Linked DNA regions of Arabidopsis thaliana. The protein of the gene in region 1 interacts with the protein of each later gene in a pairwise test. Each region holds a gene or a part of one and is shown on either strand. Other genes may lie near its edges. The genes, in order: FZL, AT1G63110, UTR3 and TH7.

Evidence for each region.
Region 2: the proteins of FZL (region 1) and AT1G63110 interact in a protein complementation assay, tested with the Arabidopsis thaliana proteins (one large-scale study listed by BioGRID).
Region 3: the proteins of FZL (region 1) and UTR3 interact in a protein complementation assay, tested with the Arabidopsis thaliana proteins (one large-scale study listed by BioGRID).
Region 4: the proteins of FZL (region 1) and TH7 interact in a protein complementation assay, tested with the Arabidopsis thaliana proteins (one large-scale study listed by BioGRID).

What each region holds. Positions count from the first base shown.
Region 1 is NC_003070.9:759,376-766,718, reverse strand, and holds FZL (FZO-like protein), read right to left. Parts: upstream 5,459-7,343; 5' UTR 5,399-5,458; coding exon 4,909-5,398; intron 4,834-4,908; coding exon 4,328-4,833; intron 4,210-4,327; coding exon 4,141-4,209; intron 3,707-4,140; coding exon 3,509-3,706; intron 3,421-3,508; coding exon 3,289-3,420; intron 2,740-3,288; coding exon 2,653-2,739; intron 2,563-2,652; coding exon 2,122-2,562; intron 2,021-2,121; coding exon 1,853-2,020; coding exon of another isoform or gene 1,788-1,852; intron 1,695-1,787; coding exon 1,464-1,694; intron 1,235-1,463; coding exon 1,119-1,234; intron 967-1,118; coding exon 666-966; 3' UTR 525-665; downstream 1-524. Other genes in the region: AT1G03165 (uncharacterized protein), read right to left, coding at 339-356. UniProt on the Arabidopsis thaliana protein: Probable membrane-remodeling GTPase that plays a unique role in the in the determination of thylakoid and chloroplast morphology and regulates organization of the thylakoid network.
Region 2 is NC_003070.9:23,402,778-23,408,656, reverse strand, and holds AT1G63110 (GPI transamidase subunit PIG-U), read right to left. Parts: upstream 3,970-5,879; 5' UTR 3,788-3,969; coding exon 3,634-3,787; exon of another isoform or gene 3,545-3,633; coding exon 3,497-3,544; intron 3,420-3,496; coding exon 3,359-3,419; intron 3,245-3,358; coding exon 3,212-3,244; intron 3,020-3,211; coding exon 2,895-3,019; intron 2,780-2,894; coding exon 2,645-2,779; intron 2,565-2,644; coding exon 2,488-2,564; intron 2,410-2,487; coding exon 2,153-2,409; intron 1,988-2,152; coding exon 1,931-1,987; intron 1,828-1,930; coding exon 1,659-1,827; intron 1,554-1,658; coding exon 1,496-1,553; intron 1,422-1,495; coding exon 1,336-1,421; intron 1,242-1,335; coding exon 1,185-1,241; intron 993-1,184; coding exon 900-992; 3' UTR 538-899; downstream 1-537. Other genes in the region: AT1G63105 (uncharacterized protein), read right to left, coding at 4,148-4,516.
Region 3 is NC_003070.9:4,910,570-4,914,960, reverse strand, and holds UTR3 (UDP-galactose transporter 3), read left to right. Parts: upstream 1-1,793; 5' UTR 1,794-1,931; coding exon 1,932-2,035; intron 2,036-2,224; coding exon 2,225-2,322; intron 2,323-2,417; coding exon 2,418-2,548; intron 2,549-2,662; coding exon 2,663-2,693; intron 2,694-2,778; coding exon 2,779-2,882; intron 2,883-2,974; coding exon 2,975-3,096; intron 3,097-3,193; coding exon 3,194-3,599; 3' UTR 3,600-3,868; downstream 3,869-4,391. Other genes in the region: FLP (Duplicated homeodomain-like superfamily protein), read right to left, coding at 4,314-4,391. UniProt on the Arabidopsis thaliana protein: Essential sugar transporter required for the transport of UDP-glucose from the cytoplasm into the Golgi and the endoplasmic reticulum. Essential for pollen development and involved in embryo sac progress.
Region 4 is NC_003070.9:21,952,062-21,955,317, forward strand, and holds TH7 (thioredoxin H-type 7), read right to left. Parts: upstream 1,420-3,256; 5' UTR 1,332-1,419; coding exon 1,197-1,331; intron 1,034-1,196; coding exon 911-1,033; intron 830-910; coding exon 698-829; 3' UTR 536-697; downstream 1-535. Other genes in the region: AT1G59725 (DNAJ heat shock family protein), read left to right, coding at 1-149. UniProt on the Arabidopsis thaliana protein: Probable thiol-disulfide oxidoreductase that may be involved in the redox regulation of a number of cytosolic enzymes.

The DNA.
Region 1 (7,343 bases):
CAATCTCCAGTATCAAGCATTAACAAGGTTTATTCTAGCACCTCTGGATTTTTAAAACTTCTCGAACCAATCCTTAACTAAAAAAGAAATTCAAGCGTTTTATCTTTAGAAATCACAGCTAGCATATGCTGAGAATTACTCTCCATGGAAACTTATACTAAGATTGTTTTTTTCCCTCATATTTAAGCCACTAAAGTCAAAAGATTAGTACATTGACAACTAAGTTTAGATGCTCTATGCGGAGAATCAATTTCATATGAATGTATCAAGCAATTCATGAACTCTAGGAGACCATAAAATCCAATTGACAGAAAAAATGAGTCAACTAACATATTTACCTGTGATATGAGGTACATGTGCAGGTCAAAGATCAGAAGAAAATTTTCTCCATGAGTCTCTTGAGCTTCCAACTCATCCAGCGATTTGTATCACAAACAATCTGAAAAAGAAGCTAAAAAACGTTATACCAAAGTTTCACGCCCATAATGCTATTGTTTGGTTCTTTCAAGAACCTCCCCAATCTTTTGAATTCGCATTCAAAAAAACCATCAGTGAGTCCATTTCAAGTCGGAACTGGCAGGTATTATTCATTATGACAAAGTACATACACTTGCCCCCCACTGAACAATGTCAAGAAGGGAAAACCCGACATTGTGTTGGAATAGCTAAAGTCTCATCTCGTCTCGTGATACATGAAGGTTATCAATATCAACTTGTAGCAACTGTAATTTACTTCTAATATCTGATAATTCTTTCTGGATTCCTAAAAGACGATCAAGTCTTAGCTGAGCTTCTTCTCGATAAGGCTTGGCAACAATATTCACAAAGTTAACTAGATTACTCGTCGCATCTGAAAGATCTTTTTGCATAGCGTCTTCGAGCTGTTGAGCCAACGCATCAGCCACTTTATTCACCTTACCAATTATAGCCTGTCTTCGATATGGGAAGTTTGCTATAGCCACATACCTGTCACATAGATTATGTTATGCATACAACCAGTCTTTCTTAAAAGTCATAAATATGCCTCTAGTTGCAAGAAAAAAATACACTAGGCGTGATCTAAGAAGGTGGAGTAATGAGACATTGGGAAGAGGGGAAATTTAGAGCAGTGTTATTACCCTCCAGCGGAGCAAAGGCCAAGAGCAAGAAGATCTTCCAGTGTGGTCGGTAGCACTGAGGTTAGAAGTGATGCAGACAGTCCTGCAGCTCCAAGCCCACCAACTGTCACAAAGAACTAGAAAAGGCAAGCAAAACTCAACTATGTCAAAAGTGTCACTTAGATTGATTCTTGAATAGCGAGACGAAGTATCTGGGAAAATACGGTACTGAATTAACATCTCCGTCAGATCATAGGTTCGGATTGAACAGATGACACAATTAAACAATGATGAAGATCAAGACACTTTAATCGACTGAATTCTAGTTAGAACTTAGACTAAAAGTATTTAATACTTGAAGCTCACCACTTCTCGAATATCTTGTTCCAATCGTTTTGATGTGGTTCCGGCACTCAAGTTCTGTATTGTTTTCAAGCTGACTTTATCAGTTTTCTGAAGTAAGTCATATGTGTCTATGCCCAATTGCGTTTTTGAATTGACATATGTTGGCCATTTGTTTTCGAATGATTTCAGAGACAGACTCCCTTCACGGGCAGTATTTGATTGTAGCCATTCAGCATATTTTCCAAGCAATTCCTGCAAACAGTGAAATGTAAAGTCAATCAGGTCACAACAAGACATTGTTAGACAATATTTACTTTCTGCATGAATAGTGACTATATCTCAGACCTCATATATATGACCAACATGTCCCCAGTTAGGCCAATACTCAAAGAATAAAGCATCACACTTACTTTCGCATTTGTGAGTGCTGGAGCGAGTATTTCACCTTGAACTTTGGATGTAGCTGCTACTGAGGCCGATTTTTCCCCTTTGAACACGTACGAGATCGCAAGATCAAGGCTTGATAGTCGCAGGGTAGTTCCTATCAGATCAACAACTTGTAATCTGGCATTATCAATCTGCGATAAAAGCCAGAGTACAAAACACAAAAAAGCCAAGTTAGAACAATCCAATTTCCTCCTTCGTGATTCAACAAGATAATATCTAATAGAATTTATACCAACGAGAGAGCCTGCCTTCTCCAAGAAATGCTCTCATATTCCATCTTAAGCGCGTATTCTTTAGTTCGACTGATAATCTTGTCTGCTGAAGCCAAGTCTTCCCTAGCAGCTAGGCAATCTTGTCTCACAAGAGCTTCCACAGAAGAAAGGAGACGCTCAGCAATCGCCATGGGTGTCTCCAATTTAAGCCTTATTCTCTCCATCCCGGTAGCTGTTGAGCTATCCAAGAAGCTATAAAGAAATTTCTCAAGTTCATTGAAGCTCTGGACTCTCCAATTAGAACCAGGATCTGCGATCTCAAGATCATCTCTGCCAACCAAAGAAGCTGTTGAAAGCTTCGCCTCAAGAGCAGACCGTGCGGACACCGGATACAATATCACATTTTCTGTATTAAGCAACTTCCGTGTATTCTCTTTAACAAATGAAATAGCTTCCTCAAGCTGCAGCAGTAAAATTAATCTTTAGTCAAGAAAAATCCAGCAATTACAGAGACTATCAAGGAAAAGACATAAATATTGTTTCTGATAAACCTCACGAGCATCACGATAGATATCAGATTTATTCAGAATAAACACAAATTTCTTTTTCCACTGCTGTGTGTACCGGAGAAACGCAACCTGACAAACGCAATGAGATGTAAATCAGCCTACAGTAAAATCAAGACAGCAGGAAGCTCCAGAGGTAGAGATAGAAATGACATGGGTATGATGACATTGAGAAGCTTATTCCTTCTTTTGAAACTTTTTCAGATTTTCAAAATAAGAACCAAATATTCATAAGGTTAGTACTTCGTAGATGATCATTTACATACAATTTGCCATGGACGTAAAATCAGTTTTGCTGTACCAATAACAACTCACCTCTCAAATGTATTGGCCTAAGCTTTACCAAAATATGGACCAACAGGACATACTGGTTCCAGCAATAGCTATAACACTCATTACTTTGAAAATAAATTAGTCTAGTTTAAATTTATAATCAACAAAACCTTGATATATGCATTCAACCTAGTGACAACTTTCCCTTCCCTACACAAGGTCTTGATGGTCTATACATGACTTAACTAACTACTTTCGTGAAAAATAGATCTAACAAGCTACTTAGGCAGATACATATTGAGCAAAAACAACAACAACTAACATGCCAAGTAAAACGGTAACTTCTACCTCACTTTCAGTTAAAGGGCGGTCAGCAGAAAGAACAAAAACAAGCAAATCTGCACGTGGAACAAATTCTTCTGTAAGACGCTGTTGCCTTTGAAGGATCACATTGGTCCCAGGTGTGTCAACAATATTTATCTGCTCGAAAGGAGAACAACCCAAATCAATTCCTCCAAATAATTAGTAAAAATTCAGGACTGCGATGGTAGAATTTTGAATTACTCACATCCTTAAGTATTGGTGCAGGAAGATAGCATACATATTGGCCATCTGGATGTGTTTGGCAACGTTGTTGCTCTTCGGATTCCAAGTCAGAGTAGCACAGAAACGTGATTTCATTGGTAGTGGGGACTACCCCTTCTTTCAGGTATCTCTTCCCAAGAAGTGCATTGATAACCGTTGATTTTCCAGAGTTAAATTCCCCCTAGTACCAGCAAATTGTGGATTCCAATTAATTATCCATACAAAAACTATTTTGAATCATAAAGGCAACTTGTCCCACTTAAAACATCTTCCAAGAACGGCATACTCACAAGTCACAAGAAAGCGAAAAAACTATGTACACAAGCAGATGGTACAGTTAAGAAATATGCAGTTCCCTTACAACCAGATCCATAAGCAAATTAAGAAGAGAAGCATAGACAGAACAAAAGAAGAAGCGAAACATCATAGTCATAGGCGACGAAAGAAGATATTGAGAAGCACTAAAGGACAAGTGACTAGAAGCATGCCCATTGTATCTCAAGCTATCTAGTGCTGGCAAAAGTGTGTAACTAAAATGTTTCTGGAATGAATATAGAGCTAATACCAATGCAAATTCCTGGAATCACAATTTGACGGAGTTGAGTGCAGAATTACCACTATAACCATCAGAAACGGCTCATCGATCCGAGAAACAGCATCAATTAGAAGGGAGACTTCCTCCATCTGTTAATGAAAAATAGTCGAAGAAGTAAATGAAACCATATTATAACCACACAAAAACCTACTTAGAACCATTTCAAAAAATTGACTTCAACTACCAAATGTTTGAAATAAAAATCACCAGTGGAGCCGCCTTGTGGATGATTTCAATCGTCTCTCTCAACACAGATTTCTCCATTTCTACTATTAGTTTCTGTTTGTCCTCTAATTTTATGAAGCCAGCAGAATTCTTTTTCTCCGGCAGTTCATTCATATTTTGTGTCTCATGATTATTTACAACATAAGCTCCATCAAGACTCTGGCGAAGAGCTACATCCCTAGAAGAACGCAAATCTTTCAACGAAATAACAAAACCAGAAACACCTGATTTCAGTAACTGCAATTCTTCTTTAGCTTCTTCATTGCCTCTGCAAGTCACATATATCGGTATTTTCACGCTCTTCAACAAAGAATCCGCCACTTGCGTATCTTCTTCACCAGATCCAAGTATAAGGAAATCAGCACCCTCGGAGCTTGAGGCAATTAGAGCAGAATCAACATCCTTCACAATCCGAGCTACCAGTGGAAGAAGTACCGAGTCGGGGTTGGATCCCATCAATGTGTTTCTCGCCACAATCGCCGGAAGACCTGTACATAGCATTGAGAGACAAAACTCACTCTATGAGAAATTAAATGCTAAAACTGAATGAAATCAGTTGTTACCTTCGTCGGAGAGAGCAACACCACTAGCACCAACGGCGGAGGCGATATCAACACGTTCAGCGATCAAGAGGTAAGCACGGCCTTTGACAAGTGATTTCAGCAAACAAGCCGCCTCGTAGAGCTTACCAGCGGTGGCTCCGCCATCAATCACGACGATTTGAACCGATTTAGCTAAAGCACGGTCGACCAAATCAAGAGTCTCTTCACGATTCCCGCTCATAACCTCGTCGGCGTCTAGCCGGAGAAGTAAACCGGGAACGGCGAGTTCGGGACGCTTGTAACCACCAGGATAAAGAGTTCGCGGCCTAGAAGAAGAAGTCTGATCGGCGGATTCATGCGAAATGTTTCTGATCGAGAGAGAAGAAAAACGCCTATGACGTGGAGGAGTAAAGGAGGATAACTTAAAGCACCGGCCAGGAAACGGTGGAGATGCGGCGGAGATAAGAAACGGTGACGTCACACATTGCCGGTGAGAGATTAGAGTTCTCATGGAGAGAGAAAGAGAGAGAGTGAGATACCTTCGTCTGTGTTTCTGATTAGTTTTCTTATCTCTTAAATATCCTATTGGCCCATCCCAAAGCTATAAGACGGACGGCGCGATTAATTACTTTTCAAACACATGAATTAACGTTTTCACATATGTGTTCATATCCAAAAGGTCCAAAGTATACCACGAAAAGGGAGAAAAACAGATTTAAATTCGTGAAATCCCTCTCCCACAATTAAATTTACTTCTTCCAAACAAAGACAAACGGCTTGAACCAGTCAAGTAAGTGATACGGCACCACTAGATGTTCCAGAGCCTCCATCTTTTTTAATACGAAGAAGATTTGTCCTTTGTGTGTATGAATTTAACAAGTTTTAATTATAGATTTGTGTGTGTATGAATTTAAAAACCTAGTACGTAGCATCAGGGAATGATATCATAGCTATTTTAGTTGAGCTTTCAAATAAGAGATGATCAAAATTTAGAACTTCTAAGAACATGAACGAATAAACAACTATTTTCTTTTCAAACCAACTAAGGTAGATGGTCACTGAAAGTATATACATCAGATAAAAGTTGCTTGTTATTCCAGATGAAGTTGGACCGAGAAAAAAAAAAGTTACTTGTTATTCAATATGTTTGGATCTTTGTCTTGCAGATTGCTATATAGGGTTGATAATGGGCTTCGTTGTAATGGGTATACAGTGTATAAGAATCGGCCTTGTGCAACCAATCCTAATATGTGTGTCTCATTAAGGTAAGTGCTTAAGATTAGAAGAGTAAAACACTTGACTTATCAACTATGTCAACTAAGGGTTCTATATTTTTATTAAATAAAAAATAATTGAATATTTTTTAGAATGATTTAATAAATTTAATGCTATTGTTTGATTTAAATGTATAATTCACCGCGAGAAGAAATTTTATAACTCAAATTTTAAAGTTTTAAGTTGTATTTGTTTATTTTGTTAAATGTTTAATATTGTATAATTGTATTTTGATTGTTGTTTCTCGGATTTCACCCGTAGTACATCATCCCATATTAATATCGAATCAAACCCGTCAATTCTAAAATTTCACCCGTGGTAGTATTTAATTGTATAATTATATTTTAATTGTCATTCTAAGATTTCACTCCTAATTCTATCGCAAATTATTATCAACCCAAACCAGTCAATTCTAAAATATCACCCGTAGTACACCATCCCATATTAATATCGAATCAAGCCCGTCAATTCTAGGATTTCACCCGTGGTAGTATTTAATTGTATAATTATATTTTAATTGTCATTCTAGGATTTCACTCCTAATTCTATCGCAAATTATTATCAACCCAAACCAGTCAATTCTAAAATATCACCCGTAGTACACCATCCCATATTAATATCGATTCAAACTCGTCAATTCTAGGATTTCGCTCGTGGTAGTATTTAATTGTATAATTATATTTTAATTGTCATTTTAACTCCTAGTTCTATCGCAAATTCTTATCAACCCAAACAGTCAATTCTAAAATTTCACCCGTAGTATAAAGTTTAAATATTTATAATATTTAAATTTCTTATAAAAGAATCAAAATGTGTTTTAAAAAAATTAAAGTTTTAAGTTTTTTTTTTTTAATATTGTTAATTTTGTTTAGTGTTTAAGATTATATAATTACATTATGATTGTCATTATATGTTTTTCTCCATAGCATACTATCCCATGTTATTATCCACTCAAACCTGTCACACCATATAACCCCGTCCCGTGAAATTAAACACAAATTTGTCATTTTATTATAAATTTCAAATATTTATAAAATTAGAAACTTCAAAAAAGATTAATATTGACCCAAACTTCATCATTGAATTTTGAGTGTTATATCTAAGATTTCTCTCGCAATATATCGTCCCGTATTAATATCTTTTATATTGTTTAAATTTCTTGTAAAATTTAATTTATAATT
Region 2 (5,879 bases), about 23 Mb from region 1:
ATCCAGGAGTTCGAAGTATATTTCCTCCACTAGTTTCTTCCCATCTGATGAAATCCAAGAAACAAAATTACAAAATCAAGAACCATTAGTTGTCTTAACTTAACAGATGAAAAAGGAGTAGTTTCAAACTGTATTTTGTGACTGAGCTATGAAGGAAAACTGCAGTTTGAAGTTTGAACTTTGCTGAAGTCAGCTCCGATACACAACCGCATTCCATCACCAAACGCCATGAAATTCCATCACCACACGCCATCAATACAATATATAATACCAAGATATGCAATCATGCATACATCAGCTTCATGCAATATATGCATAATTTTTAGGAGATTTCAGATGTCACAAGATCGAATTGAACATATATTTTCAACAGTGTGAAATACAGTTATACGGTTAGGGTCTGATTTTTGTTTTTGGTACCACGTGGGTTTTACAAGTTTTTATGATATTACAAATAAATTAATAATGCATCACACTTCATTTATTGTGAATGGGTGACTTTTAAGAAAACAATGACCAAACACCACCCAATAACCTTCCTGCACTGTGTCATTTAGGCCTTAATGGTGCAGTGGATAAGGATAAAGTACGGGACATAGACAATGCCTTTAATCATCCACCATTCACAAATGATAATACCTTGTATACATGCGATGTAACTTCAAATATAGGGATGATTGTGTGCTTTGCGGATCAAAACAAGAACTTTAAAACCTCTCGGTAAAAAGTACAAATTAATGGTTACTCTAAACGGAAAGGCACAGGAGATTTGTTATTTATATGATGTTCTCAAACAAAGAAAAGCTACTCACACAAATCACATGTTGCCAACTTTAAGCTAAAGACCCAACTCTTTTCTTTACGTGTAACAGAAAAGTGGCGCAATGACCTTCAATGGCTTAGCTCTTGACTTCTCGATGGTTTGAGTTTGATCTCTTCAGCGCCCTGTCATGGTTTAGCATTGCGCTTACGCTCTCAACCACGAAAACGATCTGTAAAGAAAAGCAGAAACCCGTATGCGGGTTTTAGTCAAGATAACCCAAAACTACAACATTCTTTGATCAATAACTGATGATCTCATCATCCTCTGCTTGATATCATCAAATTTTGTACTATATGAGTATCAACTCCCAACTACTGAATAGAATAATGAATTTTGAAATGGATCCAGGCCTATATTTTACCTGAAAGCACGCGTAGCCGATAGCGTTTCCAAAGTAGAAATTTGCATTTCCGGTTCCCTGTCATGAAAAAATCAAAGGTAGTTGTGATCATTAGAACATTTTGTTGCAACTGCTGTGAAGAGTTGGGTTATGGATTTGAGTAGAAGCTTACCCGCCATATCCAGAGATTGTGCATCACAGGGCTGAGGAGAGAGATCCCGAGATATCCACAGAAGAGGAAGAACGAGAACTTCATATCTATGTGAAACAGAAGCAGAGTTTATATGCAAAGGCTAAACAATGCTAAGAGGATGTGAAGTATTTGCTTTTACCTAATAACTCATTGACAAACAATGCCCATAAGCTCAAGTATAACGCCGAATCTCCGACCTATTGAGAGTAAATCAAATGATGAAAGCATTGTTAACATTTATGAATATAATTCCTCAAAGAAGAAAAGATAACTTCAAGTTCACAGTGAATTCAACTACTTACTGAAGGATAAGATTTAAGAATCGAGGAGATCGCTAAGTATATGAAAGCCAGGAAACATGGCCGATGTTTCAACCTTATGGCTAAGGGCAGTAACATGAACAGAATATTTACGTGTAAAACTATCAGAAAAAAGTTTCTGAAGAAGTCGAATACTTCTGCAAAGAAGTACCTGAAAACGAGATTTAAAACGAACAGTAAATAGTCTTTTCATAAAAGAAGGGATCCCTTATTCATCACCCAATGATATCACCATATTAATTTATTTTACTTACCAAAAGACTCCAATGTTTGGTGAAAGATCTTCAATACTAAGAATGAAACCATACGTCCTACAATAGGAGGCAAAGACAAACAAACATCAAATCGCCTAAACACTACGTTGCAAGTTCTTAATAAATAATTATATGATTTGGAATATAAGTTATAGATATAATATGGCTAACGGAAACTAATCCTATAGCGGTTATGAATAAGATTTCTAAGTTAGAGGCTACCTCTTGAACATCTCCTCAAGCCCACCATATTTATTCAGTGATAAGGCACATAAAATCAACACATAGAGTGACCACAGAAGTACCCAGAACAAGAAGTGTGCGACTGTTTTCCATAAGAAAGGAAGGTGCGTAGTCTGTTTCAACTTGGCTTGTTTAGAAACAGTAGAGGTTGAACTCTCCTCATTTTCTACACTTCTGGTCTGAAGGAACAATTTTATAGGAGGAGCATCCAAACCATATCCCAATAGAAAGATTATCTGTGGGAAATGCACGAGCAGTTAGAATTTGTTTAATTTGAGAAACGTGAAAAACATAAAATAAGAAATGATACATACTGGAATTGTCAGAGTAGCAGGATAAAGAGATAAATGTGTGGCAATGACTAAGCCAAATGCTGCCAGAGGAACTCGTCCTGCATGGGTAGAAAACATCAGTTATAAAATTTCAAGAAACTATTGAACAAACAATATGCAAGTATCATCATCTTCTTACGTGTAACTGCTCCAAAAAGCGCCAATATGACAGCCAGGTTTTCGATGGGAGAAGTTGATAAGCCCACACAAGAAACTATCGTGAAAGGATTCCACAAATACACAAGAGCAGCAATATCACCACAAGGTAGGATCACTGAGGAGACAACGAAAAAGGAGAGATCAATATTTGCCTTCAAGTAAATAGTTACAAGAAAAGAGTAGAAATAAGATAGATGATACACAAAATTCAACAACTGACTTCAATCTACCTTTATCCCTTGATGACTTAAGAAAACCAAGTAGTCTCGCATTCAGTCCATAAGCCATCTGGAGTTTCTGACCAATAGCTCGAAGAAGCATTGCACTTAATATATCTGCAATAACAAAAACCAAGCTGTATCCAAGAGAATGTTGGTAGCAACGACATGACTATAAAGCTCTTGATGAATAGTAAATCATTCAAAGATCATCTCTTTTCCAAATTCACATCTCACAATCTAATCCTACCTAAGATTTTAAGCTAGCTCAAATCTGAGAAGAAAGAAAAAACATGTGATCACAGAAATGAAGGGACACTGAAAAGTACCTGCACAAGAGGTGACTTGGTTGCCCTTTAATCCTGCAAACACACAAATTGTCTTCCAATAAAACTCAAGTGGGAAAAAATCATGTTTTCATATGATTCAAGCTCAATAAATCACAAATCCTAATATCAAAATCGATTAGTCACTACCTTTGAACTGTGAGAGGTCCAAGAACCGAGAGCAGCAATGGTGAGCCATGATACATAGATCCTGCTCAAATATGTACAACTTCAGCTTCTAATAGCCTAAGAATCCAAATTTACAGAGGATCAAATCTTAAGATAGACCTGCATATGGTGACATCGATGCCTGCTTCAACCAATAACCTTCAGCAACTGAAAATGTTCATACAAAACGAAGAAATGTGAGCTGAATTCGAGATCTTAGAGAGCTAATGAGGGAGTGAGAAAGAGAGAGGAGATACGGCGGCGAATGCTGGTGAGAGGGGTAGAGACCTCCGGACGGGAAGAGAGATTGAGATTTCCCGGGAAGGAGATCAAGATCAATCGGAAAGCAATGGAAGATAAAGCCCAAATCCAGAATCGGCTTAGCTGCTTCATTTTCTGCTCCTCCGCCATTTCTCCGTCGTCTTTTCTTCTTCTCTCTCTCCGGCGAGTGAAGAGAGACGACTCAGATGAAACGACGACGTATTTGATATGATCTTGTTAAGGTTTGGTTCCGGTTTGATTTTTTCGGTTTATGATCCATTTATAATTCGGTTTGATTAATGTAACTCTATATCGGTTCGGTTCGGTTTTTGTTTGATGCATTTCGGTTTCGTGTTTGTGTGATAAACATTTTTCCAATGTAAAATATCATATGAAGAATAATCATATATTTACTTTTTTATCTTGTTGTAATTTTGAAGAGAACACTAAATACATATATTATGCTTCGTTAAATACTTATGTGCTTATTAACTTTTTATGTTTACTTAATTACGTTGGTACGTTGTGTGAACTGCTCTCTCCTGCTTCGTTCTTTGCTTTCTTCTTTACTTCCTCTTTCCTTGCTTCTTCTTCTTCCTTTATTGCTTCATCTCTAGCTTTCTTCCTTTCCTTTGCATCAACAACCGCTTTTCGCATTATGTCTAGGGCAGTTTTTGATTTCTCAAAGACATCATCCCCCATCTTGTCTACCTCGTCAAGATCTCGAAGAAAATTAGGATCTGAATTTGTACTTCGTATAACTCCCACGCGATATGCAACATGTTTAGCTGTGTTGATGATTTCCTCCATTTGTGAAAGGATCGGGTTTGTCACGGCTTTAAACGCTTCGTCTCCCAAATCTGTGTTAGTGGCTTTCATGTAAGCTGTATAGAAATAGTCTACATTCGTCCTTGCTTTCTTGGCTTTGGTGTTTATCTCTGTATAAATAGATTGCATCTTAAGAACCAAAAACAAAAAAGAGTTATTGAGTTTTTTATATAATACGAATAAGAGCTAGCTAGAGAGAATTGTGATGATGCACATCCTATATATATACACACGTTTAACAACTTGATTAGCAAGTTCAATAACTATCGCAAAAGTGCTTTATTCGCTCATAAGTCATAATCAACCTCCCAATTTTTTTTTAACAAAGTATAGTTTATGTGTACACGCTTAATTAAGCCACCCTCCCAAGCTTAGTGTTTTTTTCTTACTTTTTATTCATCAAACTCAAAGGAAATGAATGATCTAATTCAAAACTAATTATACAAATGGAATTCCACAATGCACAATGAATGGTTAACGTGGGAGGGAATTATGTACCTTTATATCGTTTAAGAACAATCCTTTTAAGATACAATTATTTTCTTATTTGCATTTGGTTTAGCTTTCATGCAAAGTTTATTTTCTTTTTTTGGATAACGACTTTTATGCAAAGTTCTCTATTAATATAGCTCTTATCCTGTTATATCATCTGTATATTGTAGCATGATTTCTTACAGAGCACATGATAACAATCCAAAATAAATATATGTGTATATTTGTGCTAAGTGTATCTATATATAATTATATATTATTCATTAATATATATGTTAATATCTACTTTTATGTGTATAGTTTAGATTTTGTACATAGATTCAGATTTGATTTTTAGTCTAGTGATTAACTAGATTATGTTCATACTATTTTAGTGTTTCCTAGAAAATCATTACAACCCAAATACTTATCTAAACATCTTAAGATAGAGTTTTAAGATGTTAAACCTAAAAGGTCCTAGTGTTAATGAATGAAAAATATCAATTATTAGGGAAAAGATACTAGAAATTATATACATCTTGAATTAATCATTACCATTAGATTAAAATGTATTTCTAAATAGTTTCCAAATATTTACCCTATTTCTTATTCTTATTTATCAGTAAAATTAGACAACATTTTGATACAAAAAGAAACACATTTTGCCCATCTTTATTAATAGGCTTATTAAAAAAAGGTTTATTAAAAAGCCCATTATATTTGCTAGTAAAGCCCATTAGTTTTGAAATTTTGTAAGCTCTTTATGTTTGTGAAATCTTGCTTATTTGTTTCATAGCTATTCTTTGGTTGCGAATTTTGTTGAACCTTAACCTAGTGTGGAAGCAATGCCGGAACCTCTAATTTTTTGTTAACGCAATTCAAGAAACTCTAGGAAGGCCAGAAACTCTAATTTCTTGTGAATGCAATTTTACACAAGTTTCAA
Region 3 (4,391 bases), 4.2 Mb from region 1:
ATTCATGATATTAAATTCATACATGAAACAGCTTATGAATACTTTTTGTTAGTCTGAAATTTAGAATTTAAAAAGAATTAAAAGGAAGTTGTGGTTTTTGTTTGGTGTTTTTTTTAACTAATTATGGTCATGGTTGACGTCTGCTAAGGGACAACAAAGTGGTGGGTCTGGATCGCCCATATCGTTGAAATTTTGATCGATATTTTACAATAATACTTACTATCGTTCAGTCACAATTATTAGCGAGATTCCCCTTCAATCAAGATGTTAAGTGTTTACAACTTTTCTTTGGATGTTATATTTATGTTTAAGAAACTTTTACATACACTTCCAAATTATGAGAGATATCAAAACCTTAGAATAAAATTTGGTATTATGGACGATTTTATCTTTCTGAGACGTATTGGATTTACTATTAGATTATTGTGCATATGGCATGCATGCATTAGATATATATAGTCTTTCTTCGATAAATAAAAGTTTAGTCAATGGATGAATCAATCTTTATGTGTAGATCTTTTGTTGATCAACAGGTGATCAAGATTTAAAGGACCCGAAATTAGTTACGAAGTATTGTGGATTTTTCGCATTCTAGTTGACCAAATGAATAATTAAAGTATGAGATTCAACTCTTAAATAATATTTTTGTAAAATTAAGTTTTGAGTTAAGAGACAACGTTAAACCGTCATAATTTATGTGTGTTATATATATAATCGTCAAACCATGGTAAATAACTAAACGCATAGTAGACAAAAAATTTGTAATCATAGATGTAGACGACGGTAATCATCATTTAGATTTGAATTTTTAATGGAACGTGGTGGCTAACGTCGAATACATTTTTGGTGTATTTCTTAAATATAATATCCCATGCATTGACCCAAGAAACTACTTATTAATCAGTTAATCTATATTCACATTGTTATTGACCGGCAGATCGAAAGAGAGTTCTTTTTTCTTTTGCATATTGCATATCACGTGTGGACAAAAGCCCCATTTGGAATCTTTTATGATATTATATTGTTATGTTACACATTAATTTGTTATCTCACCAAGACTTCTATTTTCATTTTGTATCCGGTAAGAGTCACTCTTTTGAGTTTTGACTTTTGACTCTTCAAAATGTATAATTGGTTCTCCCATGAGGATTAAGTATGTCATATAAATTCCGTTTCCCAATATATATAACTTCTATTTTCATTGAGATATAGTATAATATTATTCGTATAGAAAATTACTCAAATCATAATGAACTATGCATGAGTGCATGCATGTGATACCTTGTTTTAATATAATGGAAATTCGATATTTCAAACTTTTCTCGCTATGTTGACGTTATTGTCACATTTACTTTAAGATATATCATATTTTGTTTTAGTAATCTTAACAATGGGTCATCACTAAATTTTAATCAATTAAATCATGTTGGCAACTTTCCTCCATTTGTGTATATACGCCTTTTTCTTTCATTTTCTTACCACAAGTGATCTTAGATTTGTATGAATTCATCAGTTAGTCAAACTGACATGATTAGCTGTGTGCAAGTTTGCTTAATCAAATTAAGGCCCAAGCTGTAAAAAGAACATCCGTTTACAAGTTCTAGGAAACTGCGTGACGTTTTCATGACAATAAAACGGCACATAGTTCCCATTCCTATCTCAGACATGAATGTGCATATGACTTGGATTCCAGAAATAAATCCACGTCCTATAGCCAATCAGAAGTGTCATGTCAGATTATTAAGCCAATGACACAGTTACACGTGGAAAATCTACGTCTTTCTCGCGCCTCCTACACTCTCTCTAATAACTTTCGTTTCCACTTCAGACCGATCTCATAATTTGATCGCAAAACTGATCAAATAGCGTAAAATTGAAATTCAAATTTTCGCCGGAGCTCCGTCGGATAAAACAATAAGCGACGTGCGGCGATGGAATCTCACGGTTCCGGTCTCCGGCGAGTTCTGTTATTGTCGTTCTGTGTCGCTGGGATCTGGGCAGCTTACATATACCAAGGCATTCTTCAAGAGACCTTGTAAGTAAAACTCGTTAGGGTCGAAATCGATCAATCTTATTTTAGCTCGTTGATTATTTTCTCTCGACATTGCTCGATTCTGTTTGTTCGAGATTGTTTCTATTCTCGGAATCCTGGTTGGTGATGCGTTTGCAATTATTGGAAATTTATAGAAATGTAGCTGATAGAACTCTAACATTTTCGAATTAGGTCGACGAAGAAATTTGGTGAAGATGGGAAGAGATTCGAGCATCTTGCATTTCTGAATTTGGCTCAGAATGTAATCTGCTTGGTTTGGTCTTATATAAGTGAGTAGGGCATCTTCATTGTTTATTCCTTAGAATTATAAGTTTATAACAGACGAATAAATGGAACTGAAGTATTTTTGATTGATTATGAGCAGTGATTAAGCTCTGGTCCAACGGAGGTTCTGGTGGAGCCCCATGGTGGACGTATTGGAGTGCTGGCATTACTAATACCATTGGTCCTGCTATGGGCATTGAAGCTTTAAAGTATATTAGTTACCCAGCTCAGGTAAATTAGGCATTGTTAGTGTAATAAAAACCTCATTTTTCTTGATTATGGTTGATAGTTGAGGTAATAACCTTTCTTGGGAAGTAATATTGATGCAAAACTTGCTTCTTGCAGGTCCTTGCAAAATCTTCCAAAATGATTCCAGGTGAGGTGTCAATTTAGAGCATCAATCCATAATCGCTCTCAACTGCTGCTATGTGTATCTTATATATGTTTTTTCTTTCATGTAGTTATGCTGATGGGCTCCTTAGTTTATGGCATAAGATACACTTTGCCTGAGTATCTTTGCACCTTTCTTGTTGCCGGAGGAGTATCTATGTTTGCCCTTCTTAAGGTAGGCAAATCTGCATTCAGGAACTTTGATCATAATCTTTGTTATACTTTGTCTGTGGAAATGTAGTAAACCGTCTTTGACTTGGTTTACAGACAAGCTCTAAAACCATCAGCAAGCTAGCACATCCCAATGCACCCCTTGGTTACGGGCTTTGCTTCTTAAACCTTGCCTTTGATGGATTCACAAACGCAACCCAGGATTCCATTACCGCAAGGTATGACTCTTGACATTCTGTCAGATACTTAACCCAGTCTGACATCTACAACATGGTCTAGATGTTGGACATTAATCATCGCCATACATGGATACAGGTACCCCAAAACTAACGCATGGGACATAATGCTGGGAATGAATTTATGGGGAACCATATACAACATGGTCTACATGTTTGGATTGCCACATGGGAGCGGATTTGAAGCTGTGCAGTTCTGCAAGCAACACCCTGAGGCAGCATGGGACATTCTTATGTACTGTTTATGCGGTGCAGTAGGCCAAAACTTCATCTTCTTGACAATAAGCAGATTCGGGTCTCTAGCTAACACGACCATAACCACAACCAGGAAGTTTGTAAGCATCGTGGTATCTTCAGTTTTGAGCGGGAATCCGTTATCTTCCAAACAATGGGGATGTGTGTCGATGGTGTTCGGTGGATTGTCTTACCAAATTTACCTGAAATGGAGGAAGCTGCAGAGAATGCAGAAGAAGAAAAAGGCCTGAAGCTGAGATTGGGGATCAAAATATTTAATTCTTCAAGAAAATTGTTTTTGATTTGGAAACTTTTTACTTCCAAATATGTCTGAAAGTTAGAGAGAAGAAAGCTTAGTCCATTAGCAAAATGTAAACTAATGCATTAGAAGAAACTTATATATATCAAACCAAAAGACAAATCATATATTTCCACTCATATATATTTGTCTTAACAATACAACAAACTCTTCCTTCTGAGTTTTTCATTTTTCCTAAAGTTACACTCTGGAAAACTTCTTTATATATATGTGATAGAGATTCTGTACAGAGATGATGAAAACAAATCAAGAAATCTGGGGAAAATGCTCAGATGATGTATCTGAGTAAAGCCCTTAGAGACAAACCAAAGAATTTTTTCTTAAAGACACACTGGTGCCTTCTTTTGTAGATGGCTTCCTTATGTTAAGTAAGAAAAGAAAGAGAAATCTGAATCTGAGTATATGGCAGATTCTTGAGAACATTCTTTGATGGGGCTAGAAAATGTTACCGTTAACATTCTAGGACCAGGAAAGAAACTTAAAAACCTTGAGGGAGGAATGCAGATCATGGCATGCCCGCTTCACAAAAACTTCCAGGCCGATATGGCTGCAAAACCTAATATGAAATCTAAGCAAAAGTGGAAAAAATTACGTCTCCATGGAGACTAAACCGCGGTTTAGGGTATGAGAGAGATGGTTGGTTGGTTTACAAGCTATGGAGAAGGACTCTTTTGCAAGGGGGTGGTTTTGAAGGATTAGCACTTGGACATGGAGATGAGGACTC
Region 4 (3,256 bases), about 21 Mb from region 1:
AGGAGATAGTGATTCCTAGTGAAGGAATGCCCATCTCTAAAGAAGGTTCAAAGAGAGGAGATCTAAGAATCAACTTTGAGATATGTTTCCCCTCGAGGCTAACATCGGAACAGAAGACAGATCTCAAGAGAGTTCTTGGTGGTAGCTGAATTGGCAACTAGTTTCAAGAAAGCTCTTGAATTCAAAAGGTCAATTCAGTGTACATACATATACAGAATTGATCGGTTTTCGTTTTTGATCTCATATCTTGATCACGAAATAGTAAGCAGAATTGATTGTTTTTTGTTGTAAAAGCTATCTTTGTTGTTATCTAATTTATTCTGCTTTCATAAGTTATATATGTAACTCTCAACTTCATACAAGCTCTTCGAAAATGTTATGTAACGTTTGTTTTTTTCCATTTAGTATTTTAACATATACTTGGAATGGGACTCTTTTTTTTTTTTTTTTATGGTATAGTTCTTTTAGTCGCCATACTCACATTACCATTGTTATGTTGTTTTGCTTACGTTGGGGTGATTAGATTTCATACAAATATAACTACAACATTTTTGTTAATTGTTTTCATTTTTGACATTATTATTTATATTGTTTTGAGAAATTAAACAACAAACCAGAAACCCAACTTCAAACAATCAATTCAGAACAGACATTCAAAAGTATAATAATCATTTTTTTGTAAGGGAAAAGAAAAAACTTAAACCCTATGTTGTTCAATCTTCTTCACGAGCTCATCAGGTTTGGCTCCAACAACCCTATCAATCTCTTCTCCTCTCTTCACAAAAACAAAAGCTGGAAGTGTAATAGCTCTATATGTCCCAGCCACATCCTGGAATACATACCAATTATAGCTTAGTCTTGAAACCATAAGATGATTCTTCTTCAAGTAATAAAAAAAAAGAGTAATTACCATTAGCCTATCCACATCAACCCTAGCAAACACAGCTTCTGAGTACTTTGAAGCAATCTCCCTAACTCTAGGTTCCATTGCTTTACAAGGTCCACACCATACAGCTGTGAAATCAATTACTAGCTTCAAAACCACAATAATTTTTTCAGTTAGTTTAAGAGAAAAAACATGTCATTTACTTGTAAACAAAATTAGAAAACACAAATAGTATAAGATTTAAAACAAACATTATAAGTTTGGTTAAAAAAATTTAATACGTTTTAGGTAGTTTTCGAGTAATGTATACCAATTTGTTTGAGCCTTTCATGGAATCAAAGAGAGATTTCCATTGTCTTCTTGATTCGATTTCCACAACAAATCCATTACTGGTAATTTCCATTGATGAATGAACATCATGCACAGATGAAACATTGGAACCCATTATCTTCGGAATGTGTATGTATGAAGAAATGGTGTTCACTTATTTGCTAGTGATATACTGATATGCAAAGAAGAGAGACAAGGAGGAGCATTATATAGCTTTTAATCGGAGAACTTAATTTGTTGGTTATAAATAAATAAGTAAATGCAAAGGAATATGATTCAATTTGCTATCCTTCTTTAGTTCTAGCCGTTGATTTTTTTATTTTTTCAAGAATATATAGCTTATACCAATTTAGTTTCGCTTTGTGTTTTTAAAATTCCAGTTAGTTGTTAAATATTCTCCACTACATAAAAATATAGCTGGTTGCAAGGAACTAGCTTGCCTATCACATTTGCAAACGAATTTTTTATTTTTGTGGGTGGATAACAATCCGCGGCGGATCGATTTTCTAATTAAAAAATGGTAGCCTAGGTACTTGATTTATTAGTTTAGATTAATTAGTTATTGTCAACGCTATAAATTAAAAGTAGTTAAAATTTGTTTTGTTTAAATAATATATGCACCATCCACTTCAAGGATCTAATACCTATATAATATTAATGCTATTAATTACTATAAAAATAAAAATGTCACATGGCAGGAGAGTTTCTAATGAGAACTCATTTTTATTTTTTTCCTAATTGATGGTGATACTCTTATGTCTTTACTGAAATCTTTAATTTACATTTACATAAAACTTTACAGAACGAAATTAGATTAGAATAAAACGAGAAAAAAATTTGCAAAATGACCATGCATGTCATTGTAAATTTGTAATGTTGTTTGGTGTGTCCGTGTGTAAGAATATTGATTTGTGTTAAAAAGAAGCTGTCATCAAATTCTTCCTCAAGGTCCTTCTTATTCCATTTCAGTACTTATAGGAATCATTGTCGAAAATGAGTTTGAAATTAACAATTTATTCGATACTGGGGGACAAGAAATGCACGTCGTAGCCACGAACATCATCTTTAACTTTTTGCCCATAAACTTTCACATCATCCTCTTATAATTCTCATTCTCAAGGAACTAGGAATGCTGATTCAAAAATACAGTTCGGTGATGCTCGAATATCTTAAATTTTAGAACATATTGTTGGGGTTTAAGATCTCGATTTGCAAATATTAATTTGAAACCATTTTTTGGTCTGATTTCTAATAAAATTGAAACACCACTGTTTTATAAGAACTAAAAAAAACTTGTAGAAATGTTGCATCAAAGTATGCTTTATAAAACATTAAATATATATATGTTGGGATCAAAATATGCATATATATATATTATATATATATATATATGAAGGCGTTATCAAAGAAATACAACAAGTTTTTTAGAAAACTGAAAACATTAAGGAATACTTCTTAAATTTGTAAGTACCCTTCCTAAGACTTTCTTTCCCTTACTTTTACTGTATTTGGAATTTTGGAATTGTGTAGTTTAAGACTTAAAAGAATTCTCAAATATTTATTGTACTGGTAATTCATAAAGTAAACTAATCACGTTTAGATATTTAAACATGTGTAGAAAATCGTTTTTAATTTAGATTTTGCCTTTGAATTTATTCATTTTTTAATCATAATTTATCGATAATATTACACATGACTTTCTTAAAGGTTGCATGAGTTCTGCTACCCACATATTTCTTTATTCCTAGCTCGATCTATAAAGATTCTAATATAAGTTTTTCCACAATCTAAAGAATTTTATTCCATGAAATCGTATCCATACAATTTTATATTGTTGATTTTCTCTCTTTTTAATTTATGTAGGAAGAGTAACACAATTAGTTCAATACCTCTGTATTTACTTTTCTGCTACTAAGCAATATATTACAGTTACTTATAAAATAGTTCTGTATAATAGTTCAATAAAGTTAGTTATATTTTTGCAAACAGAAAGTGTGAAAAAGATACAAGAGCAGAAGAAACGATTCTTAAATACAAGTG